4 linked regions of the Arabidopsis thaliana genome follow. The protein of the gene in region 1 interacts with the protein of each later gene in a pairwise test. Each region holds a gene or a part of one and is shown on either strand. Other genes may lie near its edges.

What was found.
Region 2: the proteins of AT5G09460 (region 1) and TGA9 interact in a two-hybrid assay, tested with the Arabidopsis thaliana proteins (one large-scale study listed by BioGRID).
Region 3: the proteins of AT5G09460 (region 1) and AT2G22200 interact in a two-hybrid assay, tested with the Arabidopsis thaliana proteins (one large-scale study listed by BioGRID).
Region 4: the proteins of AT5G09460 (region 1) and AT3G57800 interact in a two-hybrid assay, tested with the Arabidopsis thaliana proteins (one large-scale study listed by BioGRID).

What each region holds. Positions count from the first base shown.
Region 1 is NC_003076.8:2,941,749-2,949,242, reverse strand, and holds AT5G09460 (transcription factor bHLH143), read left to right. Parts: upstream 1-2,403; 5' UTR 2,404-2,555; intron 2,556-2,893; 5' UTR 2,894-3,388; intron 3,389-3,490; 5' UTR 3,491-3,666; intron 3,667-3,782; 5' UTR 3,783-3,825; coding exon 3,826-4,806; 3' UTR 4,807-5,505; downstream 5,506-7,494. Other genes in the region: DIC3 (dicarboxylate carrier 3), read left to right, coding at 1-2; AT5G09450 (Tetratricopeptide repeat (TPR)-like superfamily protein), read right to left, coding at 5,919-6,824, 6,967-7,255, 7,345-7,379.
Region 2 is NC_003070.9:2,621,461-2,631,196, reverse strand, and holds TGA9 (bZIP transcription factor family protein), read left to right. Parts: upstream 1-2,602; 5' UTR 2,603-2,914; intron 2,915-3,268; exon of another isoform or gene 3,269-3,376; 5' UTR 3,377-3,466; intron 3,467-3,475; exon of another isoform or gene 3,476-3,689; 5' UTR 3,690-3,745; coding exon 3,746-3,852; intron 3,853-4,328; coding exon 4,329-4,423; intron 4,424-4,924; coding exon 4,925-5,007; exon of another isoform or gene 5,008-5,384; coding exon 5,385-5,594; intron 5,595-6,273; coding exon 6,274-6,312; intron 6,313-6,472; coding exon 6,473-6,532; intron 6,533-6,863; coding exon 6,864-6,941; intron 6,942-7,100; coding exon 7,101-7,149; intron 7,150-7,254; coding exon 7,255-7,526; intron 7,527-7,747; coding exon 7,748-7,969; intron 7,970-8,762; coding exon 8,763-8,905; intron 8,906-8,996; coding exon 8,997-9,084; 3' UTR 9,085-9,337; downstream 9,338-9,736. Other genes in the region: AT1G08315 (ARM repeat superfamily protein), read left to right, coding at 9,720-9,736. UniProt on the Arabidopsis thaliana protein: Together with TGA10, basic leucine-zipper transcription factor required for anther development, probably via the activation of SPL expression in anthers and via the regulation of genes with functions in early and middle tapetal development.
Region 3 is NC_003071.7:9,441,776-9,447,658, reverse strand, and holds AT2G22200 (Integrase-type DNA-binding superfamily protein), read left to right. Parts: upstream 1-3,230; 5' UTR 3,231-3,451; coding exon 3,452-4,237; 3' UTR 4,238-4,586; downstream 4,587-5,883.
Region 4 is NC_003074.8:21,405,904-21,414,314, reverse strand, and holds AT3G57800 (basic helix-loop-helix (bHLH) DNA-binding superfamily protein), read left to right. Parts: upstream 1-2,702; 5' UTR 2,703-2,993; coding exon 2,994-3,539; intron 3,540-3,611; coding exon 3,612-3,725; intron 3,726-3,816; coding exon 3,817-3,882; intron 3,883-4,378; coding exon 4,379-4,474; intron 4,475-4,744; coding exon 4,745-4,789; intron 4,790-5,019; coding exon 5,020-5,088; intron 5,089-5,236; coding exon 5,237-5,308; intron 5,309-5,719; exon of another isoform or gene 5,720-5,914; intron 5,915-6,008; coding exon 6,009-6,281; 3' UTR 6,282-6,526; downstream 6,527-8,411. Other genes in the region: AT3G57790 (Pectin lyase-like superfamily protein), read left to right, coding at 7,227-7,819, 7,976-8,307, 8,381-8,411.

The sequences.
Region 1 (7,494 bases):
GATTAATTTTTTTCAAGTAGTTAGGTTAATAAATGTTTGAGATTCCCATATTTCTTCATACATTTCATATACGTTTAAAATATTTTGAAAATAATTATATAGCGATTAAGGTAATATTTACTAGAGATTTTTGTATAAAAATAAATTATTTATTTGCACAAATATTTTTTTTAGTAAATGCGAAAACTGATAGTGATTGAAGCAAAGGGACTTTTTCGGACGGTCCAAGTCTCTTGGACTTGGGGGATATACTTTTGCTGGGGACCTTCATTTGGTATATTCCTTTTTTTCTTTGGGTACTATGTTCTATTTTCTTGGTTGACAGAAAATATGAAATATCGCTTCTAAATTACAATTTCTTTTGTTTGTTTGTAAAAATCTAAATTAGAAATTATGCAAAAAATTATAAGAAAATAAGATTAACAATAATGTTTTTCTTTTATTGACTTTGATCATATTATCTCTATAAAAGAGAAATAAAATCTTTCTAAAGTTTTTTTACTTGAGTTTGAAGCTGGTGGCAATTTGGTGTTTGTTTTATGAGATTGTATAAGAGTTATCCAAAGCTGAGACATGGCCCAAAATAAGTCCAAGGCCATGTTTAGGCTCCATTTTGCATGGCCACTCCACTCATCTAACCAAAGCCCAGTCTCAATTATGTGAACTGAAATTTCTATGTTTTGTTTTTTCACACTGAAATTTCTATCTAACTGTCTTTCTTTTAACATGTTTCAATGATTTGCTTCCGAATAGAACACATAATAATTGTTTCCTAAAATTTTAAGAATTTTGAAGTACATAGTAGGCATTTGGGTCCACTGATCTCACACGGCAACGACTATTCTCAAATCTCATATCACATCAAAATAAAGAAAAAAGATTCAACGAGAAATTAAAATCTTTAGAAAAAATGTTCCAAAAAGAAAAAGAAGTCATCAAGGCAATTAAGCACTTAATTCCCTGTGCATTTTTTTAATCATTCACTTGCGTCTCTTTCTCTTTTTCTTTTTTTTTCTTCTTTCACCAAACTTGCTTACCTCTTTATTCGTTTTCTTTTCTTTCTCCTATGATCATGGAATTTGGTGGATGCTCCAACGTTTTTCACCTCAATCACTTATTAAAATATCATGTACAATAGTTCGTAATTATATATGAAAAAACGAGTGGGCTAAATTGGTGTTTTATAAGCCACGTCAAAAATATTGTATTATTTAGCTAGCTACTAAACTAGTCAAATATGTTACAATGTATATAGTTCAATTTGTATCGCGTCATCGTAAAGACATAAATGTTCCAAATCATCCCACCCACACACCTAAAAAGAAAGGTTAATACTTTAAAAATAATGATTATAGAAACCACCAAAATGGTTAAAAACTCACTTCCACTATTTGGCTCATAATTATAAAGAAAAAACGTTGCCCCCCCCCCCAAAAAAAAAAAAAAAGTTAAAAAGAAGACGAACATATAATGGCTTTACTTTAACGAACTACTAAGAAATTCTCACGTTTATGATATTACATAATTATTAATTTATGGCTTGAAATTATGGATCGCGAGGGTTTGCCATTATACATCATAATTACATATATTCTACGTTCCACCTCCTCTACTCCTCGTCCCATTGCAACCATCCAAACTAATAAAAATATTTAGATTATTTCTACCATTCAATTCAAAATTATATGCATTTTAAATTATACTATATGTATTTTCTAAAATAAATTTAAATTGAACTGAATTAAATAAATTTAATTTTTCTTTATAAAAAATATGTGTTAGAAATATGAATTGAAACTCATACTAAAGTGTATTTTAGTTTTAATTTCTACTAAAAAGAATAGTAAAAAATCAAAATAATAAGACTATATCCAATGTTCAATTCTATTTTTTCTTCTATTTTAAAATTGACTCTATTTTAAAGGTATTTTATTTCATTGTATGACTCTAAAATAAAGTTTTCTCTAAAATAGAAAACAAATATAGAGTAAGTTGTCTTTTGTTCTATTTATAGAGTAATCTCTACATTTTTCTTCTATTTTAGTAGTAACTCTATTCTAAAATATATAATAGAGTAAAATTAATTATATTTCTTCTTAAATTGAGTTAATATTAAAATAGAAGAAAATAAAGTTGGGCAATGGAGATGGTGTTATGTTTTGCTCAAATGAGTTTTTAGAGTTGATGTTCCAGCTTGGTTATCTAAATTTTGGAAGAGAAAGAAAAATGAAAAAAAAAAAAAAAAAATCTGAAATAAACTTGGTTGATGTGAACTGTTTTTTTCTTTTTCTTTTTCTTTTCCTGGTCTCCATTATTGACGGTAAATAAAGTGGTGGAAAAGGGTAAAATCGTCACAAGAAATAAGAAGATGTATAAAGCAATGTCACACACTTCAGTCTTCACGCCCACTTTTAGTGAATTTGCTAAAAATATATTTTCGAAATAATATTCCGCTTTCTCGTTTCTTATCCGTTCAAGCTTTCGTGAATTCGTCTCATAAACCTCTCCACTCTCTCTGGATCTCCACGCATAGATCTTCCTCTGTTTTCCTCCATGTACGCTTCTTGGATTCACTTAACCATTGTTTGTCGCTGTGCTCTCTCTGTTTTTTTATTCCTCGAAAAAGTTGAATTATCAGCGAATTTGATGCAAATGTGTTTAAATCGTTACCAAAACGGATAAATTCTTCTATTTTCGTAGCTTGGCTTGCAAAATCCAAGCTTTTAGTTCTTGATTTTGCTAAAATAAATTATACTTGTTCAATGCTGCAGAACATGTACTTATCTTCTTCTGCTGTTTATGGTTTCTCTATCCTTTCAATTGTTGTGAATGTTTGGTTTCTTTGGTTTGTTATTACTGGAATTTGATGAGATGATTCTCTGTTTTGTAACAGAATTCTTCTCTCTTTCTCTGGATCACAACAAAGCAGTGAATGAGAAAAACAGCATGAGTTGGTTCACAAGGTCTGTTGATGTGTACCGTAAAGTTGTGAGCTTGAATCTGTATTGCCGAGTTATTCTGTAAACTTTTTCTCTGCCTTGAAAAACCCCATCTTCAATCTTCTTCTAAATCCTCAGCCTTTTCTAAACTCTTTAATAATGGGATCCCAACGTTTCTACGTTTTCCACTGTGACCAGTATAGGATCATCTAAACCCTTAAAGCTTCTCTTTTTCTTCTTCAAGTCATCTGTCTTTTGGTGACTTACTCTGTTCTGTGGAGAAACACTAGTTTTACATTCGAGAGTTTGGAAAAGTTATTATTATGGTAAGTCAATCAGCTGGTCAAACAAGATTTCGAACATTCAAGTACGAGAACAACGGAGACTCTAGCAGACCAACAATTGTAGTGAGAGTTATTGCTTGCTTCCAACCGATGGATAATTGTCAGGTTTGTTGCAGCAAAAATGATATTATACTCTTTTTTTTGTCACATTTCATCTCATAGTCCTGTGTTTCTTATCTAACACTTTTGTCTCTGTTCCACTTGCAGGCTGAATACTTTAGACATATACTCAAACCAGTGACGTAGTTGGTTTGTGAGCTTGTGTTTGTATTTTTGGAGCTGGCACCTTTTTTCTTTTTGTCTCTACTTTCTTATACGATTGTTTCAAGAAAGAATCAACAAGTGTTGCGTTCCACACATTTGAGCAACAGCTTCCACAATCGGTATGCTAACTGAATCTTTGACTCTTTATGGATTATTGCTTTCTTGAGTTGGGCTACTAGTAGTTGTCTCATTCATAGCCATGTCCAATGATTAGTCCCTTTCCTTTTTCGTGCAGTATTGTATTCCTGTAAAGTTCCCTTGGCTTAAACTGCAAGAGCATGCCTCTTGATACCAAACAGCAGAAATGGTTGCCATTAGGCTTAAATCCTCAAGCTTGTGTCCAGGACAAGGCGACTGAGTATTTCCGTCCTGGAATTCCTTTTCCGGAACTCGGTAAAGTTTATGCAGCTGAGCATCAGTTTCGCTATTTGCAGCCACCGTTCCAAGCCTTATTGTCTAGATATGATCAGCAGTCTTGTGGAAAACAAGTTTCATGTTTGAATGGGCGATCTAGCAACGGTGCTGCTCCAGAGGGGGCACTCAAGTCTTCTCGGAAAAGATTTATAGTATTCGATCAGTCGGGAGAGCAGACTCGTTTGTTACAATGTGGATTTCCTCTGCGGTTTCCTTCTTCTATGGATGCAGAGCGAGGGAACATTCTCGGTGCCCTACACCCAGAGAAAGGGTTTAGTAAAGATCATGCCATTCAAGAAAAGATATTGCAACATGAAGATCATGAAAATGGCGAAGAAGACTCGGAAATGCACGAAGACACTGAGGAAATCAACGCGTTACTGTATTCTGATGATGACGATAATGATGATTGGGAAAGTGATGATGAAGTAATGAGCACTGGTCACTCTCCATTCACAGTTGAACAACAAGCGTGCAACATAACAACAGAAGAGCTGGATGAAACTGAAAGCACTGTTGATGGTCCACTTCTTAAAAGACAGAAACTACTGGACCATTCGTACAGAGACTCATCACCATCCCTTGTGGGCACCACTAAAGTCAAAGGCTTATCAGATGAAAACCTTCCTGAATCAAACATTTCAAGCAAACAAGAAACGGGTTCTGGTTTGAGCGACGAGCAGTCAAGAAAAGACAAGATTCACACCGCTCTGAGAATCCTGGAGAGTGTAGTTCCAGGGGCAAAGGGAAAAGAAGCTCTTTTACTACTAGACGAAGCCATTGATTACCTCAAGTTGCTGAAGCAAAGCTTAAACTCATCAAAGGGTTTGAATAACCATTGGTGAAAAACCTACAACCCCTTTTGTCCTATTGATAAGGCATGTTTGGTTGGTTAAAGAGAAGACATGGGACAAAAGATAATCAATGAGGTAAAGGACTGATGAAGAAGATTCTCTCAAATTCATTAACGTGGGTTTGAAACAATTAGAACACGCCTGGTGACCCTAGTGGGACCGTATCCACTGTTCATCTAGCTGGATCAATAGTGGTTTACTTTTGGATTTGGCATGCTCTCTCAAAAAAGAACCAAAAAAAAGTCACTTTCTTCTGTGCTTGGAGTGGAAGAAAAGTGAAAGAAGGGAAAAAAGCAAAGTCTTGGTGCTCATTGATCGTTAATAATTATCTTTACTCGTGAGTAATAATAATATCTCTGTGAAGGTCTGGTGGTGGTGGGTGTGGATGAAGAAAAATCAAAAAGGCAAATATTGAAATTTTTGGAGTGGTTGTGACTTGTGGAAATTGAAATCTTCCCACTTTCATTAGGTGAAAATCTATGTCCCCACTCTCTCTTGTCTCATTATTACTCTTCTGTTGCTATCAATCCCATAACTTGTCATCTTTTTTGTTTTTTCTAATCTCTCTGGCTCTTAAGCTCTTCAAAGGCCTTGTAGTTTTGTACTATTGTAATGTTATTTGCTTCTGTTGTTTCTCTCATGGGTCTAAACATGTTTGTGTATCATGTTCATGTAATAAACTCGAGTGTTAATAATGGAACCTTCTTTGGCTTCTTACATGCTAGGATTTTGCTCTAACCTTTCAAACTATCATTTTTTCTATACCAAAAACAAATTTTGTAGACTTATTATTAAACAACAACCATACAAGAAAAACCTCCACAATCTATTTTTTGTTGTAAAATTTGGACTTTTTGAAATTTGACGTTACATATGAAATGTTATGGACCTTGCCTAAGGAAACACATCTTCCGACTATGCAGCAAAATCTTCTGGTGAGGAAATCTATGTGTCTCATGACCTCCCACGTAAAGAACAAAAAGATATTTAAGAATCACAGTGAAGAGAAGAAACCTCTATTTTATTCATCCACCATGATTAATGAGCTTGATCTGATTCTTCTTGCTAAGAGCATAAAATTTTCACCAACTTATTTCTCCATCTTAAGATGATCCTTCATTCTCCAAGCTGCATTTGTTATGCACCAAGATCAAGTGAAAGCCGCTGGCTATTCCCTCTAAACCAACATCTCGAAAAGCATTCAAGATCCTCAAGCAAGCAGAAGCATCAAACTCTGTCGTTTTAGACTCTTTCCACTGATGGATAATCTCCTCGGCTTCTCTCAAATGACCAAGCATTAGATAAGATGAAAGAACACAAATGTAGCTTCTACTACTCAATATCTGGTTGGTGTTTCTCAAAGACTTCCAAATCTGATCTATCATAACCTTGTTCCCTAGACCAGTGTGCAGAATCATAAGGAAGTCATATGTGATCCATTCTCTTTGCGAAATAGATTTCTCAGCTTCGACAGGCAAAGTAGACTCTGCATTAGTTACTCTACTACTGTTTATGTAGATGCTAGTAAGATCGATATACCGAACCCAACCCTCATTGGAACTAGCATCATGCCTCATCTCTTCAAGAATCTTTCTAAGCTCATCTATATTAAAGGTTGCAGCACATGAACTTAGCCACAAATTATAAGTAAAAATATCCGGAGAAACCTTTTTCTGCTTTAACACTTCAATAACCTCAGGTACTTTCTCAACTTGCCCAACTGACATGTATAAAGTCATCATCTCGTTGTATGTGATGGCACCAAAAGTGAGACTATCACTCTCAATGATTCTCTTGAACAAGGCCTCGGCTCGTTCGGTTTGTTTGGAGGCAGCATAAGCATGAAGGAGAGAAGTATAGGTTTCAGCTGTCTTTGAATCTATATCCAGACCTTCAAAGTAGCGTTCAGCTGCATCGATCCCGAAAACTTTTGAAATCAGATCTATGCGTGAGGCGTAATCAGCATCTGAGATCTTTGATTCTTCATGCTGTACCATCCACTCTGTAACCTGTTAATAATACTTGAATTAGCTCCCAGAAGAATGCAGTTTTGTGCAGCAACACATAACAAATCATAAATTGTGCAATCAATCTAGAAACTAGGAGCTACGAAGAAAAACCAATGAAAAAGGAAATGATCGATGTTAGTACCTCAAGAGCGTGCTTGTAACGGCGAGTTCTCCTAAGCTCTTTGGAGATCTCTCGGAGTTCATTGATAGTCATTTGATTCCCTTCTCCAATCCATTTCTCGAGAACAGTAGTCGCGCTACGTTTCGGAAGTCTCAATCTGAAAATCCTGCTCTTCAGATCGTCTTTCTCCTCCGATTCCTCGACAAGGGAGTTTCCGATTGCTGCGTCAGCATTGTACGACTTGGAGAATCGTGACGATTCGGCGTTTCGAATGAAATTGCTTCCGAGAACACCATTATTCGTCAATCGACTAAATTCATAAGAAGCAGTGTGAATCAATTATCTCAGGAAACAAATACGAAATCAGTAGGAGACATAGAGAGGTGGAGGGAGACTCACCATCTAAGACTATGGAAGAGCGAGCGAGTCGCCATGAATTTTCAGTTCCGACTGAAGAGACCAAAAAGATCTAAAAACCGATCACTTACTTCGAGAAACTCGAGTTTCAACAATTTTGTGTCGAAAAAATAGCAAAAATATCTAATGGGC
Region 2 (9,736 bases), on another chromosome or scaffold:
ACCGAGCTTTCTAAGTCTCTCTATCTCTCCTCTCGCAAAACCTGAGTCTTCTTCTCGCTCTGTGTTGAGACTTTTTGGGGAATGTGATGGAAGAAGGAAGCAGAGAAGAGATTATGGGATAAAGGAATTGGTAATGGCCGGCAACGAACTTGGGTTAATAAAAAAGAAAAGGTTGGCAAGTTACACGTTACAAGAGAGGATGTTGCAGAGAGAAAGATTGAGTGGCGATGAAGAAAAGGGTTAGGAGGAAGGTGCGACGTGGGAATCACTCACTTCCTTATTTGATTTCCAAGTCTTTTATTCATTTTTATATTTAAGCATAACAAGTAGTATTAGAGTGGGTTTTACTCCCCCCTATTTGATAACATCTGTCTCTCTTACTTTTTCTGTATATATGACGTATCTACTGTATTTCTTTTTAACAAGTTTATATTACCCTTTTATGAATTCTAACAAAACAAAAAAAAGTGTGAAAAAAAAAAAACAGAAAAAAACTCTTATCCTTTGAGGCTTTCAGTTTGACCCCAACAAAATAAAATAAAATTACACCATTAACCAAGGTTAAATTACATCAATTGCAGATCTTTGTACCATTGCTACAATCTAACAGCCCAAACGAATATGGGCCTGAAGCAAACCAAATAAGGATGTGGCCCATTTTTACATCATATGACTGTTACCGAATCAGAAAGTCAATGACAATAATGGAAAATATGCAAATTTGACAATTTTCACCCAAGATAATGGTTGTTGAAGAAAATTACACAGGATGAAACATTTAGGCCACGAAGTTTTGAATATTAGGGTTTTGGGCCTCTCGGCTTGTTGGACTTTTTAGATCATGCTAGACCAAAACCGACTACACTATTTTGAGTAAGTAATTCAAAAATCCCAATTCGTTAGAAAACGAGCTTGAGTAGTTGTCCCAAAGTGATTGATCATTGATGTCTACATAATAATATGCATCCTCCATATAAGATTATGGCCGGTATTGGGCTGAGATGGTAATCTAAACATTATTTTGATGCCTTGATGGACAAATTAATATTGAGATTCTATAAAAGCTTAACCGTGAGTTATATACTTCTACCGAACCCAAAAAAAGCATCTAAAGAGCCGTGAAAAATAAATTCTCAATTCGGAGGGGGTCATTATGACACAAACTAAAGGAATAAAGCCATGACAAATGTGGATTTGCAAGAGAGCTGCATTGACTAAAACAGCTATACGAATCAAAGGAGGCATATAACAATTTCTAATAAAGGAAAGGAATCTGAAATGTGGCATTAGGATTTAGGTGATGACAGGGAGTGGATGTTGACCGATCAACAAAATTATAGGATAATACCAAACTAATCAATTTAAATAACACTCGATTGAGATGTTTACAATAATTATTGATAATTTTAATGCTATTTTCTATATTTATTTACGATTAATGCAAGAAGGCCGTTTAATTTTATCTTATTGGTCTACATAATTGTCATTATTCTAAGGCTTTTTTGGTTGAACTGGTAGAGGCAAAATAGTTAATTATTCAATACTTAAGTATGTTAGGTTAACCGACTAGAGAAAGTTGCTCTAGTTCTATTATATCCAAATTTGAAACTTAAAGCCTAAAAGCTGTTAATTTTTGAGAAGAAGAAAAAACTTTCAGAAACTGTTTCACATATTATCACTCTCGGCTTTCAAAAGGTTATAGACTGAAGATGAAACTAAAAAAAAATCTGTAATTATGTATAGTGTGTTACATATAAGTAGACGTATTATATTCATACTATTCTTATCCCTCTCTCTGTCTCAAAGGTCATTTAACAAAAAGAGTTGTAGTTTAGAAATAGAAACTCACTCGATTCTGCTATTTTAATATACATACACAAATCAACAAACATTCCTTATCCCACATTAATGCATTGTCTTTGATTATGAATTTATGATTATGTGTATTAACATTATTTCATCACTATCTCTAGTACTATTCCAATAACAAACTCATTAGATCATCCAAATAATATATATAATTTAGCTTAAACTATAGCTGGGGAGTTGTATTCGATCATTTAGTTATAGTATATATTTGTTTACTAGACTAAAGATATATATATCATTTTTTTTTTGGCAAAAATATAAAGTATATGCTGTATATATCATGCCCATTCAAAGATTCTTGATATAATTCTAGAATTTTCCTGTTAGTTTTCTTTTGGTTTTAGATTAACACACAGACTACTTAGAAAAAATAACTTCATGCATGATCCATGCTGCTAAGATGATAGAGTGAAACCCAATTCTTTTATGCAAATTTCACCACTTTACTTTCACATATACAGATACGTATTTTGATATAGGCATGTACGTGAATACGATGAATAATACTACAGAAAAGATGATAGATTATTGAAAAAATGTGTACGTGAATAAGCCCAAAAAGAGATTTGATGAAAAAGAGCCAATAAGCACAAACAGGCGGTTACAAAGAGAGAGAGAGAGATTGTGGAGTAGGAGTCAGTGATTCTAGTGGGTTCCTCCTCTTTTTCTGCTCTCTTTCTTCTATTTTTATTTTATGGACTAAATTACAAACTCTCATTTAATTTTCTTCTCGCTCAATTTTTTTCTACCTAGAGAAGTCGATAGTTTTCTTAATAATCTACCTCCATTTTCTTGTGATCGGTCCAATTAATCTTATATCCAATCATCTTATTTATCTTCTACATATTGGATAAGGCTCTTTTATTCTTTACCAAAGATAAAGCTCCATTCTTTTTCTTAACAAGGATAAAGCTCTTTTAATTAAGCACTCTTAGACTTTTGATTTTCTGTTTAACTTCTACATTTCAGGTTTGTGTATGAATAGAGATCGTCCACTCCATCTGATCAATTGCCAAGTACTAGCTTCACCCTTGACAGCTATAAAGTTAGTCAACTAAATTTTCAATTTTCTGTACAACTTTTTTGAACCCAATATTATTATTTGGAAAACAAAAAAAAATGCAACACATAAATATAGCCTGGAGACAAAGTCTAGGAAGGACAAGATCTTCGTCTGATTTACCATGAAAAATTATCAATATTTCTTTATTGTTTTCTTCAATAAAATTTTGAAATTTAGCAAGTGGAATTTGTGTTTACTATGGAAATAGATAGAGAAAGGTGGTGAAAAGGAGAGAGTGATGATGAATCACAAAGGTTTCTTCACATACAAGTATAGAGAGAATAGTAATAAAGAGAGAAAGAGTAATGATACTATACATTAGTCAATTACTAATACTTTATTATCATTTCTCTATCCAACTACAAATATATACACGCCCACATAATTTTGTATATGTATCTCGGAAAGAGAAAAGATTGGACCCTCTTTTGTTTTTCTGTTCAGCCATAAAAAAGCCTTTGACGAGAAAGCTTCCATTCTACTTTCTCTCTCTCCTCTTTGTTCTCAAACACCAAAAGCAAAACATCACAAAAGGTAAACACATAGATATCTTACTTTCATGTTCATATCATCAACTAGCTTTTTCTTTTCAAATTCCAATCATTTGATCAACTAATCAAGAATTAATTATAAGACTTTGCAATCTCTCTCCCTCTCCCTCTCCCTAGCTAGTTCTCTCTTGTGTTTCTTAACTCGAGCTTCTCTCAATAGTGATTATCATCTTTTTCATCATTTCAAGATTTAATGTGTTTTGCAGAAAAGAGACTAATCAAGAAGAGATATCATCAATTGAAGCTGTTTTCTTGAGTAGAGATGGCGAACCATAGAATGAGCGAAGCTACAAACCATAACCACAATCATCATCTTCCTTATTCACTTATTCATGGTCTCAACAACAATCATCCATCTTCTGGTTTCATGTAATTAACAAATCTTCCTTCGTCTTTTCTTCTTTACATATACATAAAGCTCAACTTTATTCATATTACATATCTTAATATTGAGCTCTAATTGAATTTTATATGGGTTTTCTTTGTTTATTCTCAATTTGTCATTTTCTTAGTAGTATTATGATATGTTATACGGTTTCATTTATGAGATATGAAATGGTCAACGGAAATCTATAGGTAAAACAGAAACTAAAAAATGTGTTATGGATCATCCGAAATAGGTTTTATATGTGCTTTAGCTTTTGTGTAAACTTTCATTATATGCGACCGTCTTTATTAATCTTCTAACTCAAAATGCGACCCTCTAATCAAGTATTTATATTTTAATTTAATTGTTGTTCCTTTTGGTCTCCAATTTTTCTTGGTTTCTGATTGTATAGTTGTAGTAACACATGATGAATATTCTCTTTGTACTAATTAAACAATACTATTAATAAATGAAACAGTAACCAAGATGGATCGTCCAGTTTCGATTTTGGAGAGCTAGAAGAAGCAATTGTTCTGCAAGGTGTCAAGTATAGGAACGAGGAAGCCAAGCCACGTAAGCCCCCCTCTCTCTCTCAAATCTTCATGACGTGAGCTTTCCTTAACAAACTCCAATAAAGTTTTTAAAATTCTGAGCAAAAAACTGAAACTGGAAAAAACAAAATAAAAAGCTGAGAGTAGTCTGAACAAGTCTTTAGATAGGTTTAGGTGATGATACGGAGGCAAAAGAGAGCCTTGGATGGCGTGACTTGTTTTTCTATTTCTCTTCTCTTTATTTAGAAAATAAGAAAAGAAGAAAATATCTTTTACCAACTCCCTAACTTCCTCTATATCAAAATATTCATAATTATACTATTAGTAAAATGTGTCATGTTATATATAGATTCCACGTGATAAATGATGTAGTTAGTTCTAAGTAGAATATATTGTAGTACTACTTAAATTACATCAAAAACACATATACATGCATGCACACATTTAATAAGTAGCTAGCATACTACATGATTACATATGAACATTACATATCTGATAAATGTAATGATGGGTAAAATTGCAGCTTTATTAGGAGGAGGAGGAGGAGCTACGACTCTGGAGATGTTCCCTTCGTGGCCAATCAGAACTCACCAAACTCTTCCTACTGTACCCTTTCTTCTTCTTTGACCCTTTCCTCTTGTTTTTTTCTCCTTTTTCGGCATTCCTATTTAAACTTAAAACTTATATTTTCATTTTACCCTCACTTTTATATACATGTTTCAGCTTTCTTGTTCCTCTTACTATCTCTTATTTTTGCTTCTTTCAACTCAAAAGCTGATAGCGATTTTAGAGTAGTTAATTACTCCATTCCTTTCTCTTGACTTTATTTTATATTACATAAACTTATAGTACCCCGTTTGTCAAATTATATACGCTAAGGTCAATTCCTCCTTAGTTACATTGATTATCCCTTTTCTGACTTTTTATTAATTATCTTATACGTTAATGATGATGAGTATGATTATGTTGAATATGTATTGCAGGAGAGTTCCAAGTCAGGAGGAGAGAGCAGCGATTCAGGATCGGCTAATTTCTCCGGCAAAGCTGAAAGTCAACAACCGGAGTCTCCTATGAGTAGCAAACATCATCTCATGCTTCAACCTCATCATAATAACATGGCAAACTCAAGTTCAACATCTGGACTTCCTTCCACTTCTCGAACTTTAGCTCCTCCTAAACCTTCGGAAGATAAGGTACTCATCATCATCATCATCATCATCATCATCATCATCACTTTTTAAAATTTAATTTTAGAAAGAGATATATGCATGGTACGTACTTGGAGTCATCATGAAACATGCATGCTTAATTTGGTGCATGTACATGGTATGTATATCATTAGCCTATCTCTCTCTCTCCTTGTCATTTGATAGATATGCATGCACATGCTTTTTCATATATGTCTATGTCCTAACAAATCTTTCCAATAAAACAAAAACATACACAGATCCCAAAAAGGAAACGGATCAGAGAAAATTCAGAATTTTGACCTCTCGAATCGTTGATAAAATAATGAAAACAGACAAATTTAAAATACAAATTATTAAATGAAATCCCCAAAAAGCGGAATAAAGCAGAAGAATCTTCCTAGGTGTTATTATTGTTTTTATAATTTACTTTTTACTACATGATTACATATCCTCATTTCTATGTTTACTTTAACAACACATATATTCCCTAAATGAGTTCATATTGCTTAGATTTAATATTACATTAAAAAAAAGTATTTAATAATGCTGTTTTTTTAATTGTGTGTAAATGGTATTTAAATATTTATCACATGAGTCGACTTCACTCACACAATTTAATTTATGTTTACTTTCTTTCCACTGAATGAATTTCTATTTTCATCTCTGTTCTCTGACATTGCAGAGGAAGGCTACAACTTCAGGCAAACAGCTTGATGCTAAGGTACTTTAACTTTCATCATCATCATTTCCTATACATTTTATTTGACTCCCCCGAGGAGACATATCCATTCCTATATATGTACTTACTTTTTAGTAACCTTTTTTACCTGAATTAATTCGTTAACTTCTTGTTTAAATGTTCTTAAATCTGGATTATGCAGACGTTGAGACGTTTGGCCCAAAATAGAGAAGCTGCTCGCAAAAGCCGTCTTAGGAAAAAGGTATGACCATATAATTGCCTGACTTTTCACCTCAAATTATTATCATTTGTTTTTGTTTTTTTGACCTATTTATATATTCTTTGCTACTTTTTCCAAATGATAATTTGTTGCATAGAATTACAATAATGCTATTGCTACTAGTAAAACATACGCAGTGGTGTCTTTTATTCTTCTTGGAAACCGCTGTTACATGAGCATTTATTTCTTTATCTACCATTTACCAGTCTTCTATAATTCATTTATGAACGTATAAGTTCCGCATTTCTTGTTATTCTATATGTAATGATACTAGTATGAAAATAACAAATGCATATACATATGGTTTGAGCAGGCGTATGTGCAACAGCTAGAATCAAGTAGGATAAAGCTTTCCCAATTGGAGCAAGAACTTCAGCGAGCTCGTTCTCAGGTTGAAATTGAATCATTTATATTCCTATAATCCTATATATTCTGCTAAATCTTTTTTTAAATTTGTCAAAACCTGTCATTTGCTAAGTTTCTCAATTGTTCATTGGTTATTAATAATGTCTGTTTGTTGAAATTAATATATTGTTTATGTCGATGGTAGGGGCTGTTCATGGGTGGTTGTGGACCACCAGGACCTAACATCACTTCCGGTACTTGAAACCTAAAACACCAATTGCAATGTATTATTGTATTAAAATAAGTACAATAATGGTTAAACTATTATTAACAAAATGTTGAAAATCGAATGTACGTAGGAGCTGCAATATTTGACATGGAATATGGGAGATGGCTAGAGGATGATAACCGGCATATGTCGGAGATTCGAACCGGTCTTCAGGCTCATTTATCTGACAATGATTTAAGGTTGATCGTTGACGGTTACATTGCTCATTTTGATGAGATATTCCGATTAAAAGCCGTGGCAGCGAAAGCCGATGTTTTTCACCTCATCATTGGGACATGGATGTCCCCAGCCGAACGTTGTTTTATTTGGATGGCTGGTTTCCGTCCATCCGACCTAATCAAGGTTCGACTTGTTCTTCCTTACTTTACCCCATGATTACAAACGTAAGTTTTAGGTTTTGCGTTTGAAAAACAAAATGATATTCACGTTAGTAAATTACATCAACAAATCTGAAACATTGCTGCAAAATGTAAACAGAAATGAGTATTCTTCGGTTTAATTATTTGCGTGTGATAAAAAAGTTGTGGAATCATGATTAACTAAAGAAAGGGATGTGATCTTAGATATTGGTGTCGCAAATGGATCTATTGACGGAGCAACAACTGATGGGAATATATAGCCTACAACACTCGTCGCAACAAGCAGAGGAGGCTCTCTCGCAAGGCCTCGAACAACTTCAGCAATCTCTCATCGATACTCTCGCCGCATCTCCAGTCATTGACGGAATGCAACAAATGGCTGTCGCTCTCGGAAAGATCTCTAATCTCGAAGGCTTTATCCGCCAGGTTCCATTTTCTCACCTATCTTTTTTTTTTTTTTACTTCATTTGCTCGAACAATAATTACAAACGAATGCAAACGAGAGAAAAAAACACCGTGTGAAATATACACAAAATTTGACCTACTATATAACTGTAGATAGTTTTTGACTAAACAAAATTTGCAACGTATTTTGGTTTATAGTTAGAGAGGAATTCGAATATATTTTTTAGAAATATATTGGGTAAATTTTAACGTTTTATATATATACTAGATGTACAAATGTTTAAAAATGCGGAAATACGTGCATATATTTTGCGTACATATATGAACAAACGTATGTGCTGGCTAAATTATCTAATTGAAAAAAAAACAAATAATCCAGAAACAGACAATACGTGAAAGCAACATTTGATGTTCTATAATAATTATATGTTGTTTTGGTCTTTGATTTAATTATTCCAAGAGCCAAATTTCTTTCACCAACTTGTTTTTACCTTTTATATATAATATAGCTGAAAAAAAGACAAAGAGAATATGTTAAAAGTATTCTCCATCTCTTTCAATGTTTTGTTTTGAACTCAACAAAAATATTTTAAAAAAATTTCTTGTTTTCAAACATTATGATCAAATTGATTGTTATTGATATGTATTGACTTTTGTAATACCCATTAGCCCACCAAGGTAGTAAGTAGGTATGCAATTATAATTATTAGTTTTTAATAATATTACCAAAAGAAATATTGAAATAATCTTAAAATGTCAAAAGATGTGATTACTAACTGTAATCTTTTTCTTTCTATTATTAATCTAAATGAAGGCTGATAACTTGAGGCAGCAGACCGTTCACCAGCTGAGGCGGATCTTGACCGTCCGACAAGCTGCACGGTGTTTCCTAGTCATCGGAGAGTACTATGGACGGCTCAGAGCTCTTAGCTCCCTTTGGTTGTCACGCCCACGAGAGTAAGACACATTTTTATGCATATATACATTTCATAGACGTATAATAATGCTAAAATATGAATTTGATATCGGGAATTATCAATGTGAATAGGACACTGATGAGTGATGAAACCTCTTGTCAAACGACGACGGATTTGCAGATTGTTCAGTCATCTCGGAACCACTTCTCCAATTTCTGAATGGAATGAAACTTTGTATAACTAAAAGGCCAAGTTTCATTGTCTGTCGTAATTTCACCTATTTCCTTTAAAGTTGTACTAGAGAAAAGATAGGATCTTCCTTCGACATTCTTCTTTTAATTATAGTTTTATGCTACTATGAAATTAACGTACCACGAAAAAAATGAATGTTGAATCTCTTCGACAGTACAAGAGGATGACTGAAATTTAATTTCACGAATGCTTTGGAGAGGATGACTGAAATTTAATTTCAATTATTTTCAATTTTAAACAGAAACGTAAATATCTCTACAAGTACAAGAACAAGAGCATGAATTTTTTTCGTACGATCAAGTTTTTCTTATGGAATAAAGATCTGACACATGTTCCTGAATCCTGGATAAAGAAGTACAATTCTGGTATAAAAAGACAAAGTTGTACCTTTTTGTTGACGAAAGAAAAAAGTTAAGACCTTTAATTCCCACTTAGATGAATTATCAATGACTCTTTCATTCTTGTTTACTCTTTAATACAATTAATACAAGTGGCTTGTTCAACAAAAAGTCGTAACTCCATCATCCAATAAACGATAATTAGGGTTTGAAGATAAAGATAAAAAACAGAGAATTGTTCTCTATTTCATCAAAATCTTCTCAATGGAAACAGCAAAGCG
Region 3 (5,883 bases), on another chromosome or scaffold:
GGGCTTGGGCTTGAGATTTGATCAGCACTTCTTTCCCTCCTTTGGAGAGAAATTTGGATGTCCACGTGTTTACCCTTGTTTGTAATCTATCTCTCGCAAAAGCAAAGACTTGAGCTTTGGATCCATGAATCTTTTCAGGGAGTCCTAGATAAGTTTCCATACCACCTTCTTGCGAAATCCCCATTCTTGTCTTTATCTCTTGTCGAATAGAAGGGGAAACCTCATTACCAAACATAATGGATGATTTTGCTAGGTTAATCTCTTGCCCTGAAACCCTTTTGGATCGCCGTTTAACAAGACCCTATAAGTCACTGATGTAATGCACTGCATTATCCAACCAATCCATCTTGGGTCAAAACCCATTTTTTCCATTAATGCACGTAGAAAATCTCACTCTACTCTATCATAGGCCTTGCTCATATCAGTTTTGAGTGCCATAAAATTCTTTCGGTTCGATGGGTTAGAACGGAGTGCGTGAAAATTTTCTTGAGCAATAAAAATATTATCAGTGATTAATCGTCCCGCTACAAACGCGGATTGTGTCTCGGATATAAGCTCTGGAAGAAACTTCTTGAGGCGTAGACTCAGAATTTTTGACACCACTTTATAGCTTACATTACATTAACTAATAGGACGGAAACCAGACATTTCCCTAGGCCTATCCCCTTTTGGGATAAGGCAAATGTTGGTCTCATTTAGCTTTCCATCAAAGATACCAGATCTAAAGAAATTCTTCACCAAATTGGTGAGATCACCTTTTATAATGTCCCAAAAACGTTGGTAAAAAAGTGCCATCATCCCGTCTGATCCTGGTGCTTTTCCCGGGTTTAATGAGAATAAAGCTCTTTTCACCTCCTCTTCTGTAACCTCCTTGGTTAGAGCCTCGTTCATCCTTGGAGTAACCGCAACATGGACATCTTTAAGGACATTAGTGGGATCTCTCGAAACCGAGGAAGAAAAGAAGTTATCAAAGTAGCTCACGGCGACTTTCTCGATACCTTCTTCATTATCAACCCACACTCTATTTTGATCGAGGATACCAATTATTCTGTTCCTAGCCCGCCTTTGTTTAGTTGAAGCGTGAAAATATTTGGTATTTGTATCTCCTAATACCATCCAAACTTGTCTACTCTTTTGGTACCAAAAGATTTCTTATAAGTACCATAATTTGATTTGAGGAAAGTTGACTGAACAACCGCAAGAAGCGTAAATGGACTAAACCCATAGTAATTGATTCATGATGAATCAATATGTAACGTGAAACTTTACAAAGGAGAAATCTAGTGGAGTTTAGCAAACGAATCGATTTTATGACTGGACCACATATTAAATTACATAATAAATCACATAATCTGTAAATATTTTAATAACATATTTATTTGTCACACCAACATTCGCATGGATCATTTTCATTCCAAAAAAAAAAGAAAGAAGAAGAAAAAAATACTCACATGGATGATGTTATTAGTATTATAATTGTTATTCTATTATGCGGAAGCATTAAACCAGAACACATATCTTAGCCAATTTAGTAACAAATTTGTCACGGAATTGACTGGTAATCAATGTAGAGATTGGAAATCAACCACAAATCAACGTTCAATTGCTTTTCCTTTTGTTCTTTCAAAGCTTTCTCTCTATAAAACGTTCTTTTTATCCATCTAAAGTTCTCTTTGTGTCAATGGGCACAAAGCTCATCAAAGCTCTTTTTTTGTCTCTCTACAATCATCTTTTCATCTTAGTATAATCGTATTCTTTGGGAATTAACTTTCCAATTACCGGTTCGATATACTGTCATATCATGGGCGTAATACGATTATAAAGTATAAACCAACAATAACCTATTCCTATTTTTTTCTATCTACCTCGTACTTTTAATCTATGTTGCATAGCAACAGAAACGGAAACACGGAAACGAAACGTTTCGAAAACCGAAAACAATTTTTTTTTAAAATTAAGGAACGCAAACGTTTTGGAAACTTAGACATATATATATATATATATATATATATTTTAAACAACAAAAATCTAAAACATAAATATCAAATAGATAAAGTAAAATTCTTAAAAATAAAGATTAAAAAGCGTAATATCAAATATTTAGACCATCATTTTCATTAGTTCCATTAAAAATCATATGAAGCACATGAGATTTGATTCGTCGAGAGAAAGATCTTAAAACTTGAGTCTCCCAAAATTAGTTAAATCTTTATCTTTCCAAACTTTTATTATTATTAAGTTTCCAAAGTAAAAAAATAAGATTTTTTGCGTTTCTAAAATATAAAAAATTTCATCGTGTTTCCAAATATAAAATTTTAGGAAACGCGTTTTTGTGAATTTCCATCGAATTTCCAAGAGTTTCCGTTTTCTGAAATGTTTCGGAAACGGAAAACGCACTGCGGAGAGAATTTCCATGCAATTAGCTTTTAATATATTTGTCCAAATGAAAGTAAAATGTTCATAATATAAAAGGTGCCATATTCCAAGAGTTATTGGTCCTTTCACTTGATCGTTAAATGGTTGGAAAGCAAATTGGCCTTTCAACGAATCCTAGAATCAACAATTCATTTGTTTTTATTTTCTAGCTCCTACAAAATTCTATATCTAAATAATAATATTGTTAATCAATTAATTAGTTTTTTTCAGGGTATATATTCTGTATATATTATTAAATAAAAGTTCGAAAAAAGAAATTAAATGTGGAAAGCATGTAGCTACAATAACTCCCCAACCAACCATGTGTGTTAAACTTTCACCACTTTATCTTCAACCTTATCATCATATATATATTTTTTGAAAATTTCTAACAACATATAATCTTACAAATAGACTTGAGTATTCATCTAAAAGTATAGTTACATGATTAGGTCACTAAACAAATTTTTAAATTTTCAACTTGTGGAAGTTGTGATTAATTTGATTTTTAAGCTCCATTTCCATCATACAGAATATTGGTACAACAAATTATCCTCCAACATTGAGTCATATATTACGTGTTCAACTTCAAAGTAAAACATGTCTAAATTCACAACCGAAAACCCACATATTATAGAGAACTTGCCCCATATAGCCCCTATATTATATTCCCCGGAAACGGCTAGATCCAAAGCACATGTAGACATGGCAATTTCCTATTGGTTTACTCCGGCCATGGATTGATTAAAACGATTATTGCCTTAAATATTCAGACGAATTCAATGGCCTTTAAAAGGCGGAGAGCTTCAGAACAAGCAACATAACGAGAGATTTTTTATATATAAAAAATAAAGGAAGCACGAGTTCACCTTAAAAATTTGAGTTTCTCTTTTCTTGACCCTGAAGTTTCGTTTTGATCAATTTCACCCATTTCTTTGTTCGTCGTCTTTTCTTTCAAAAGGGTTTCATCTTTGTATTATAAAAATCCAAACTTTATATCTTCACAAGCAGCAAAGATCTCTATTTCAATCCTCTCATGGAAACTGCTTCTCTTTCTTTCCCTGTCCCAAACACGAGCTTCGGTGTAAACAAATCTATGCCTCTCGGTCTAAACCAGCTCACACCATACCAAATTCATCAGATTCAGAACCAGCTTAACCATAGACGTAGCACAATCTCAAACCTCTCTCCAAACCGTATCAGAATGAAGAACTTAACACCTTCTACCTCCAAAACCAAGAATCTCTACAGAGGCGTAAGGCAAAGGCACTGGGGGAAATGGGTCGCTGAGATCCGTTTGCCCAAGAACCGGACCCGTCTCTGGCTCGGGACATTCGAAACCGCCGAAAAAGCCGCCTTAGCTTACGACCAAGCTGCTTTTCAGCTCCGTGGAGATATCGCGAAGCTTAACTTCCCAAACCTCATACACGAAGACATGAATCCTCTCCCTTCCTCTGTTGATACCAAGCTTCAAGCTATCTGCAAAAGTTTGAGAAAAACAGAGGAAATTTGCTCTGTTTCTGATCAAACAAAGGAGTACTCTGTTTACTCTGTTTCAGATAAAACAGAGCTTTTCCTGCCAAAAGCAGAGCTTTTCTTGCCTAAAAGAGAGCATTTGGAGACAAATGAGCTCTCTAATGAGTCACCGAGAAGCGATGAGACCTCGTTGTTGGATGAGTCGCAGGCGGAATATTCATCGTCGGATAAAACATTCCTGGATTTCTCGGATACTGAGTTTGAAGAGATTGGAAGTTTCGGGCTTCGGAAGTTTCCTTCGGTGGAGATTGATTGGGATGCAATTAGTAAACTGGCCAATTCTTAAAGTCTTCTATTTTATATTAATCTTCTGTGCAACTGAAATTTTCAACAAGTTGCAGATGAGTTTATTAGGTTTGAATCTGTCCTAGTTTTCTTTGTTGGTCGTATAGAGTTTTACTATGTAGCTAATCTCCATGTTTGGTTTGGCTTGGTAAGTTTTTAAGGTCCTCGTCATCAACAAACCGGAGAAAGTTTATGTATTCAAAAGCTATGTATTATATCCTCACATCTACTTATGAGAGTGAGATCAAAGTTTGTAAAATGAAGTCTTGATTTCTTCTTTTAGTTCTCTCTTTTTTAAAACCAAATGTATTTCTTTTTTTTGTGTTTCTTATTATGCATGCTAATTCCTGATTTCAGTTTACGAATGTATTTTATTTCATTTTTCAATCCTCTGTTTCAACTTGAAGCTACTCTTGACAACCCAATCGGAGCCAAAATACCTTTGGGCCTTCTCGGCCTTGTTTTAGTGCCCAACATCAAGATTGGATAAGATATATAAATACGAAGCCCAAAAGATATGGAATTGTAAGGACTAAAGACGATTAAGTATATTTTTTCCAATATGGTGGTATATTTGTGAGGAGTATTGATTTTTTTTAATCACAAAATGATGGTTAATTATATATTAGTAGTTAGTATGGAGTACCTTTCAATTCTATATAACGTTACTGTCAAATTTTTAGATATTGAGTTAAGTAATTAAAAAATCGCGTCAAGTTATTGATAAAAAATAGGTTTATGGTTAATGCAAGACACGTAGAAAAAGCATAATTCCAACACTAATATCTCCATCACCAACTGTTTCCGTTGATACCGTTGAGTGCCTTTGATTCTACAAAAAAAAGCCATGATTACTTATTTTATGGGGTTGGTGACTCTTCTTTTACATCCTGCATTGTGTTTTTTAATTATAGAAATGAACACACTTCGTTCTCTTATGCATAAGCTTGAATGTTATTTAGCAAATTAACCATATAATCTATCGTTTATTGTTGCATTTGTTCTTGATTTATGATGCTAAAGACGTTTATTTGGCAAATTAACACTATCGTCTATCGTTTGTTGTGTGTTTTGTTTGATAGATCGTGTAGAATATAGTGATTATATCGACTGAAAATCGAGGAAAACATAAGTGATTCATTTTAAGGATTAGCGACTTTTGGAGAAAGTGAAGAGTTATCTAAGACACTCTCCTTTTAAGCCATTCATAGATAATATTGTATGCAGACACTAGTTGATTTTGTTATTCAATAGGAATTTATATATTTATCTTGGCAAATTTGCCCAATTCTCTACTACCTTCCTCTCTTTTTTTTATGAACAGTGGGTGGGGTTTACTACATTTAAAAATAAATTTTACAATTATGAATTGCTTTTCATGTGAATTCATTCAAAGAATTAAAGAAAACTCGAAAGTGAAACTGTTGTTCCAGCAACAAACTTTTTCAAAATCACTCTTTTAATATGATTCAGAATCAATCATTTTAAATAGTGATTTTACTAGTCTTGTACCAGATCACATAATAATTTATTTTTAGCTAAAAGCATGAAAGTATATCTAGACTTCGTGCTTTATTGATATGCGATGAACAATTTTTTTTATATATACTAAATTACGATGATCATGTTAAAAAACCGAAATCGATA
Region 4 (8,411 bases), on another chromosome or scaffold:
CAATCTTTTGATGAAAATAAAAATGTTATAGTTGACGATAGAAACGAGCAATGCTTCATATAACGTGGAACAATTGCATTACATAGACAATTGCTTGTGGACATTCGTACTCTACATAAAATTAGTCGAAGTTAGCAAAATTCACCTAAGATATTGAATCGTTTGTGATACATTGCTTCTTCCTTTTGGGGGTTTGATATTAAATGCTTTTACAACTATATTTCCATTGACAATCTACCTTTATAATGATTATTAGCTAAACCAACTTACAAACAACGTTTTGACAACCATAATTGTTATGCACTTTTCAATAGTCTTAACTCTGCTTACGGATGTCGTTTGCTCAGCAATTTGGGAAATGGGAATAACTCATATAAAGAGATATGTGTGTTGTTGTGTGGATCCCATGCATGTCAGGTTTGTAACAGCTGTCGAATAATGCAAGCTACATAGAAAAATAAAACATTTTCATTAAAACACAAAAAGAAGAAGGTTAGAGAGAGCTATTCATTTATTCATCGAAACATTTTAATATGGGAAGAAGGGAATTCCCACACCACTCCACTACGAAGAGAGGCTTCTTGGGCCAGTGTCACGTGATTAACACGCGGATCCAGACCCACTCATATATAAACGAATTATCTATAATATTTTCTAAACATATTTCTTTATTCATCGCACATTTTTTTTTTTCATGCTTCACGTATACATCCGAAAAATCTTTGTGGTCTCGCCCATATCTATCCTTTTAAATCCATCATGATCCCAATGTGATACGTTAATAAGACCATCTGCAATGGTTGTCTCTATTTTTTTTTTGTAAATATAGAAGAGAAAATAGAGATTTCTATTTTTACTCCAATAATTCTTCAAAAATAGAAATCTCTATTTGTTAGAAAGAAAAATAGGGGAAAAAAATAGAGATCCATATTTTTGTTTCTATATATAGAGAAAAAAATAGAGATCTCTATAATGGAAGTGAGAATAGAGATGAGTTGGAGTGTAATAAAAGCAAAAATAGAGTGTAGAGACAAAAATAGAGATGTGTTGGAGATGCCGTAAGTATTGTGAAGATAATCCTCACAGCTTTCTCAGCAATAAAAGAAAATATATCTCTTTAATTTTTTATAAAGGTTTTATGTGTGAATATTAAAAACTTTAGTCTCATATGAGTTCGAGACTGTGCTCGGGAACAAATTTTATAAAGATAAATCATCTAAAATTGAACTGCGTTTATAATGGCAAAGACTTTGCATAATTAGAATGTTTCTTATTGATAAAGACTTTGCATGTTTCATACTCATTTTGACATCTAATTGAATAAAAACAGAAAAGAGCCGTATAGCTTCAAAATCTTTATATTTAGAATAAAGTGTATATATGTGAAAGAGTAACACATATGTACGTAGGAATTAGGTTGGTTAAAGAATTGGCCACATCAATATCTGAGACACCAAAGAAGTAATGGACGTTGGGAGAGTAAGTAACGTTGCCAAATTGGAAATGCCAAAAAAAGATTGTACCTTTCCTCTCTTTGATTGAGACTTTACTACTACACCAAACCTTACATCACCAATCGCTGAAAGTGAAACCGATATTTTAGCACATTTATATTCCACTTCTACACCTTTTTACTAAATTTCAGTTTTGAGATTTACTTACATGAAGAAGAAATTGGCTAATCAAAATAATCAAGCAACGATGATTTGTTGCAATGAAATGGAAATTGGGATTTGGGCTCAGATTATTAGAGCATAAGTGGATTTCCTGTTCGGCCCATTGTGTGAAACAGGTTATTCCACTGGACCCATCTGTTCATCTTTGTCCTCAAATTTTCCTCTCTATCCCCAAAACACCCTTTTAAAGAAGTAACATTAATTGTTTTTTTTTTTCCTTTTAATAAATTTATAAGATATTTTGAATTAATATTATTAGTACGTCTCAATTTTTATTTTATTTTTGCCTTTTATACTCTAAAGTTTTTAATACTTGATGAATTTTGAATATTTTTAAAAAATAAAAAAAATAAAATATTTTTAAAAAATTAATATTACGCTTGGTAGATTTCATCCAACGGCTGAGATAATTACTAAAATGGTGTTTTGAGCTCAATTATTTTTCCATATTAAAAAGTGTTTTTGGTTCTTGGTTATTTACAGGTCAACAAAATAATTTGACACCGGAATCGGAGTCCGTGGAAAGTCAGAAAACCTGATGTAACACCATTTATGGCATTAACTACTGATAATAATACTATACGAAAATCCAATTATTATACCGAGAAAAAAAGAAAAGTGGTCAGAGACAGCAGGCTGGTCCTGCTGAAGAATAAATCTAATCTACCGATTCGATTAAATAAATATGTGCCGTTTTCTGGTACGCCCTATTCAAATCATTTTTATATTATAGTATCAAAATACTTCAAAAATTTACTAATTACAAAATTAAGGAGTGATAAAAAAAGTTTATAATCAGAGATAAAAAGTCACCGGTTAAAGCCCAAAAGGCCCAAGTAATATCCATTGGGATCCAGCAAAATATATAACAAAAGAACCGTACCGTACCTACAATAACCAAAATTGGTTTTCTCTTTCTTTTGTCTAACAGTGGCCTTTATTTAACAGACGCACTCCACTGCTAACGTTGCTTTCGTCCTACTCTTCTTCTGGTGTAAAAGCTTTTCTTCCACACACATTTGAGAAAGAAGACGAAGAAGAAGAGAGAATAACTATTCCTTCTTCGCCAAGTTCTCTGAGCTATAGAAGAAGGAGGGATTTCTTCAGACCGCCATTGTTGCCCACCTTCTCTCCTTTCTATTTTTCGCCGCATTTTACTCGCTTACTGACAAAAGTCTTCTACTCAAGTCTCTCTCTCGCTCTCTTTGGAGGCTCAATTAGGGTTTTGTTGTCGTGAGATTTGATTACACAAATTGCTGAATTTGGTTTCGATTATTGGTGTTATTGTTTTCGAAGATTTCCAGTGAGTTTCCGTTTATGGATCTGACTGGAGGATTTGGAGCTAGATCCGGCGGTGTTGGACCGTGCCGGGAACCAATAGGCCTTGAATCGCTACATCTCGGTGACGAATTTCGGCAACTAGTGACGACTTTACCTCCCGAGAACCCCGGCGGTTCGTTCACGGCTTTGCTTGAGCTTCCACCTACACAAGCAGTGGAGCTTCTCCATTTCACTGATTCTTCGTCTTCTCAACAAGCGGCAGTGACAGGGATCGGTGGAGAGATTCCTCCGCCGCTTCACTCTTTCGGTGGGACATTGGCTTTTCCTTCTAACTCAGTTCTCATGGAGCGAGCAGCTCGTTTCTCGGTGATTGCCACTGAGCAACAAAACGGAAATATCTCCGGGGAGACTCCGACGAGCTCTGTACCTTCCAATTCAAGTGCTAATCTCGACAGAGTCAAGACGGAGCCTGCTGAGACCGATTCATCTCAGCGGTTGATTTCTGATTCAGCGATTGAGAATCAAATCCCTTGCCCTAACCAGAACAATCGAAATGGGAAGAGGAAAGATTTCGAAAAGAAGGTTAGAGTGAGAGACAAATGTTTTTACTTTTTTACATTTGATCCTTCGTTTCATCAGATTGATTTTTTATAGGGTAAAAGCTCGACGAAGAAGAACAAAAGCTCTGAAGAGAACGAGAAGCTGCCATATGTTCACGTTAGAGCTCGTCGTGGTCAAGCAACCGATAGCCATAGCTTAGCAGAACGAGTAACTTGCATCTGCCTTCACTAATTTTTCTTTTTTTTGGTATTAATCAGTTGATTAATTCGCTAATTGATCACTAATTTTTGGATTATAGGCAAGAAGAGAGAAGATAAATGCACGAATGAAGCTGTTACAGGAACTGGTCCCAGGCTGTGATAAGGTTTGTCTCTTAGATATAGACGTGTAATCAATTTGTTAATCAATCATTAGGTCTTCATTTGTGATTAACGACATTATATTTCTCTAATTGATTCACTCCAAAAGTAAGAATTTATTATTAGATGATCTAGTCTTTTTGTTAAGGGTCTTAATCCTTCACACCTACTTTTTTTTTTCTTCCTAAAAAGTGGATTGCTTAATTGCTTTTTTATTAAGAAAAGTGGTTCCTGGTGTGCCAAAGTAGCCAGTTGGGTAATTGTGTAGTAATGCCTTTAGAGATCTCAACTTTATTTTTTTATTTCGTGTGGGGAGAAATATCTCACGGGTACACACTTAGCTTTAAGGTTAACTCAGTCACACGGAAGTGATAGGACCTTGCTTTATCGAATTCTTTTTCCATAAGTGTGTTCGTTGAGCTTGAAGATTAGTCTATAAATGACGAGAATGACCTTAGGAAGTGTGCTAGCTGTAATATGCCATTAAGGTTTTGGGTTTAGGGGACAGATTTTGGTGGAAAGATCAAGATCAAAGTGTGTTTTGGGGTCCATCTTTTGATGATAAGTGGGAAAAAAGTTGCAATCTTTCTATGGAAGGTGAGGAAGGGGTAGTATCGTCTCTAACAAGTTCGGTATCTATCAAGGAAAAATAGAAAATGACTCTTAGAAGGACGATTAAAGCAAATGATCCTTTACAAAAATTGATATGCTTTGAGTCCCACATACCTAATTAGTTGGAAACATGATGTGACACTCCCCCAGACAGCTAATTAATCATCCCTGATGTTAGAAGTTAGCAGCAATTATTGGTGTGATAGAGATGATGATATGGAACATCAGTGTTTGTTTAAAATTTGGATTCTATAGGTGAGCTGTGAGGACTTGATTGATTGTTCCTTTAGCCCCCCTAGGGTATACTGATTACTTGTGATTGTAGTAGATACCATTTATTATAATAGCTTTAGATTAGCACGTCATTCTCTTGCTGCTTTTTTCACTGTGTATTTTGGAATCTTGGTATTTTCTCGTTGAAATATTGGATCATCTTAACAATAGTTAGCTGTCTAGAAAGAATTTTTGGTATGTGAAAGCAGATCTACCTAATATGAATCCGAGCTTATCAGAAAGTCTTTGACCTGCAGATTCAAGGTACCGCGCTGGTGCTGGATGAAATCATTAACCATGTCCAGTCATTACAACGTCAAGTGGAGGTGAGACTTTCCGTGGTCCAATTTTTGTTCTTTATACCTATATTTTACAATAGCCCTGGGCACAATAAAAGGGTCAACTCAAAACAATTTGAAAATGAATAGAATTATGTGCCGCAATCTCATGAAACTGTGACTTGTGTTTCCACAGATGCTATCAATGAGACTTGCTGCGGTAAACCCCAGAATCGACTTCAATCTCGACACCATATTGGCTTCAGAAGTAAGTATCAAAATCTCAAACAATAATTTGGTCATTCTGATTAGTCTTCTCTAGGAAAAATTTAACCATTTCATGTGTTTCTCATTTAAGTTAACCATACCTCTTTGAGTAGCTTCTAGTTTCTATCACAAAAGGAGAAACTTTTGGGGTATTTATTGATACAAACATTAATTTAGACCATTTTAGTGTAAGGCATAGGAAGATCACAACGTCTACTCTCATGAAGGAAACTCAGGGAAAAATAAATACACAACACACACACACACCCAATGCAAATAACAGTAGTGGGTCAAAACTCGGACCACCTTTGTTCTGTAAAACCTTTCTGTGTCTTCTGTGACTTATGTCGGATGTGTTACTTGATGAACCTTTTAAAAAAAAAGTTAATTCATCCCTCAATAATTTCTGTGGGTCTCTTCCAAAATCTTGTTATTTCAAAGTGACCTATCTAATTTCATGATCACCTGTGGATTCTCATCAAAAGTTTTGGACCAAACTAAATAAATGCTCCCTCTCTCTTTCTTCTTACAGCTTGTACCACCATTAAATAGCCAGGGACCCTCTCATCAAACCTTGTTCTTTTAGGATAATAATAACACAGCAACAACAGTTGACTTCTTTGACTAGATCAAGATCTCTATGAATGATCCCTTTGCTGATATCTTTTCCGGTTTTGGCTCTGTGTTTTTTTCTTTGACAGAACGGTTCTTTAATGGATGGGAGCTTCAATGCCGCACCAATGCAGCTTGCTTGGCCTCAGCAAGCCATTGAGACCGAACAGTCCTTTCATCACCGGCAACTGCAACAACCACCAACACAACAATGGCCTTTTGACGGCTTGAACCAGCCGGTATGGGGAAGAGAAGAGGATCAAGCTCATGGCAATGATAACAGCAATTTGATGGCAGTTTCTGAAAATGTAATGGTGGCTTCTGCTAATTTGCACCCAAATCAGGTCAAAATGGAGCTGTAAGTTGGGAAAACGGTAGAGATCATGAATGTGTATATACATCGTATAAGCTCGTTTCTCTCTATATAAATATAATCATAAATATAGATATCTGTTAAGAAGGTATCAGTCATTTGATTCAGAGAGACAACACTGGTATGATTGTTTCTTATTCTTGTACCAGATTTCGACAATGTAGAATTTAGTAGGATATGATCATTTTGATCTCGTTATATATATCTTACTAATAATAAATAGAGATAAAAAAATTCTATTTAGGGAAATAAATCAGTATCGATAAACAAAAACAGAAAGAAGAAGCAGGGGCATCCTTTGGATATTGGAGTTGCACGAAAAAGAAGAAGCAAAAACAAAATGCAACTATATGTTTAGATTGTTTGAGCTGGACCAAGTGAAAATGCACCTCTTGAATTATGGTTTAGGTTAGGTAACAAAAAACCCTAAATTGACTCATTCGATAAGAACAGAGATGCAATCATAAATATGAGTGCAAAGCACGTTACCGGAAGCTGTGATGGCCTTGTTTGCGTCTACCGTATAGAAAGATTGATGTGTATCATCAATCCCGCCACTAGATGGTATCGATCTCTTCCTCAGCCTAAGATTCAACAAATTAACCGCCTTAGACGAAATCTACACGAGAGAAAGTTTCACTTTTTAATTCTTTTGCTTAATCAATTTGCTTAATCAATTTGCTCATATATGTTTACTTAAATTTTTGATGTTTTTGTAGTATTATTTCACTATTATTGTGCCTAATTAATTGTTTTTGTTTTTACAAACTCTCTCATAGCTTATTATTCTGCATCAAACTATCCAGGATTCGGTAAAGACACTACGATCCTCATAGAAGAGATCTGGAATTCTAGTTTCAGTTGTTTATCAATTCCAATAAAGTCTACACACATAGACATAGGATAAGATTATTATTAAGACCTTTAAAAAAAAATGATGGGAAGCATATTATTGTTACTATTATTCTTTTCTCTGGTCCAATCACGTTCAGACACGTCATATTCAAAAATTCAACTTCCCGGCGATTCTCTGACCCTCTCCGTTACCGATTTCGGTGCTACCGGCGATGGTATCAACTACGATACTTCTGCGATTCAGTCAACCATTGACGCCTGCAATCGTCACTACACATCTTTTTCTTCCATCTGCCGCGTCGTTTTCCCTTCCGGCAACTATTTGACCGCTAAGCTCCATCTCCGATCTGGCGTCATTCTCGATGTGACGGAGAACGCCGTGCTTCTCGGTGGACCGAGAATCGAGGATTATTATCCGGCGGAGACTTCGTCGGATTGGTACGTGGTGGTGGCGAATAACGCTACGGATGTTGGAATCACTGGCGGAGGAGCGATTGATGGCCAAGGATCGAAGTTCGTGGTCAGATTCGACGAGAAGAAGAACGTGATGGTGAGCTGGAACCAAACCGGAGCTTGCTTGGGTGATGAGTGTAGACCCAGGCTTGTTGGATTCGTTGATTCTATAAACGTTGAGATCTGGAACATCACACTACGAGAGCCTGCGTATTGGTGGTTAGTTTTGAAACTTCTGCTTTTCACAAAGAACTCTATGAACAAATTTGACTTTGTTTCACTATCTTAGATCGAAGATAAAGTAACTCTAGCTGAGAATTTAGGCTTCTGTGCTAAGTAATCTCTGATTTGATTATATACACACTCTCATTGCAGTTTGCACATTGTGAGATGTGAGAACACATCAGTCCATGATGTATCGATCCTTGGGGACTTCAATACTCCAAATAACGATGGAATCGACATTGAAGATTCCAACAACACTGTTATAACTCGGTGTCATATCGATACTGGAGATGATGCAATCTGTCCCAAGACTTACACTGGTCCACTTTACAACTTAACCGCTACAGACTGTTGGATCCGGACCAAATCCTCAGCCATTAAACTCGGTAGTGCGAGCTGGTTTGATTTCAAAGGTCTTGTCTTTGATAACATCACTATTTTTGAATCTCACAGAGGACTTGGCATGCAAATACGCGATGGAGGTAAACAAGTTTCTTCTTTTCTTTGGCTGCATACAACACAGAAACTTATGTAATGTAACCCGAATATGTGCAGGAAATGTGAGTGACGTTACATTTTCAAACAT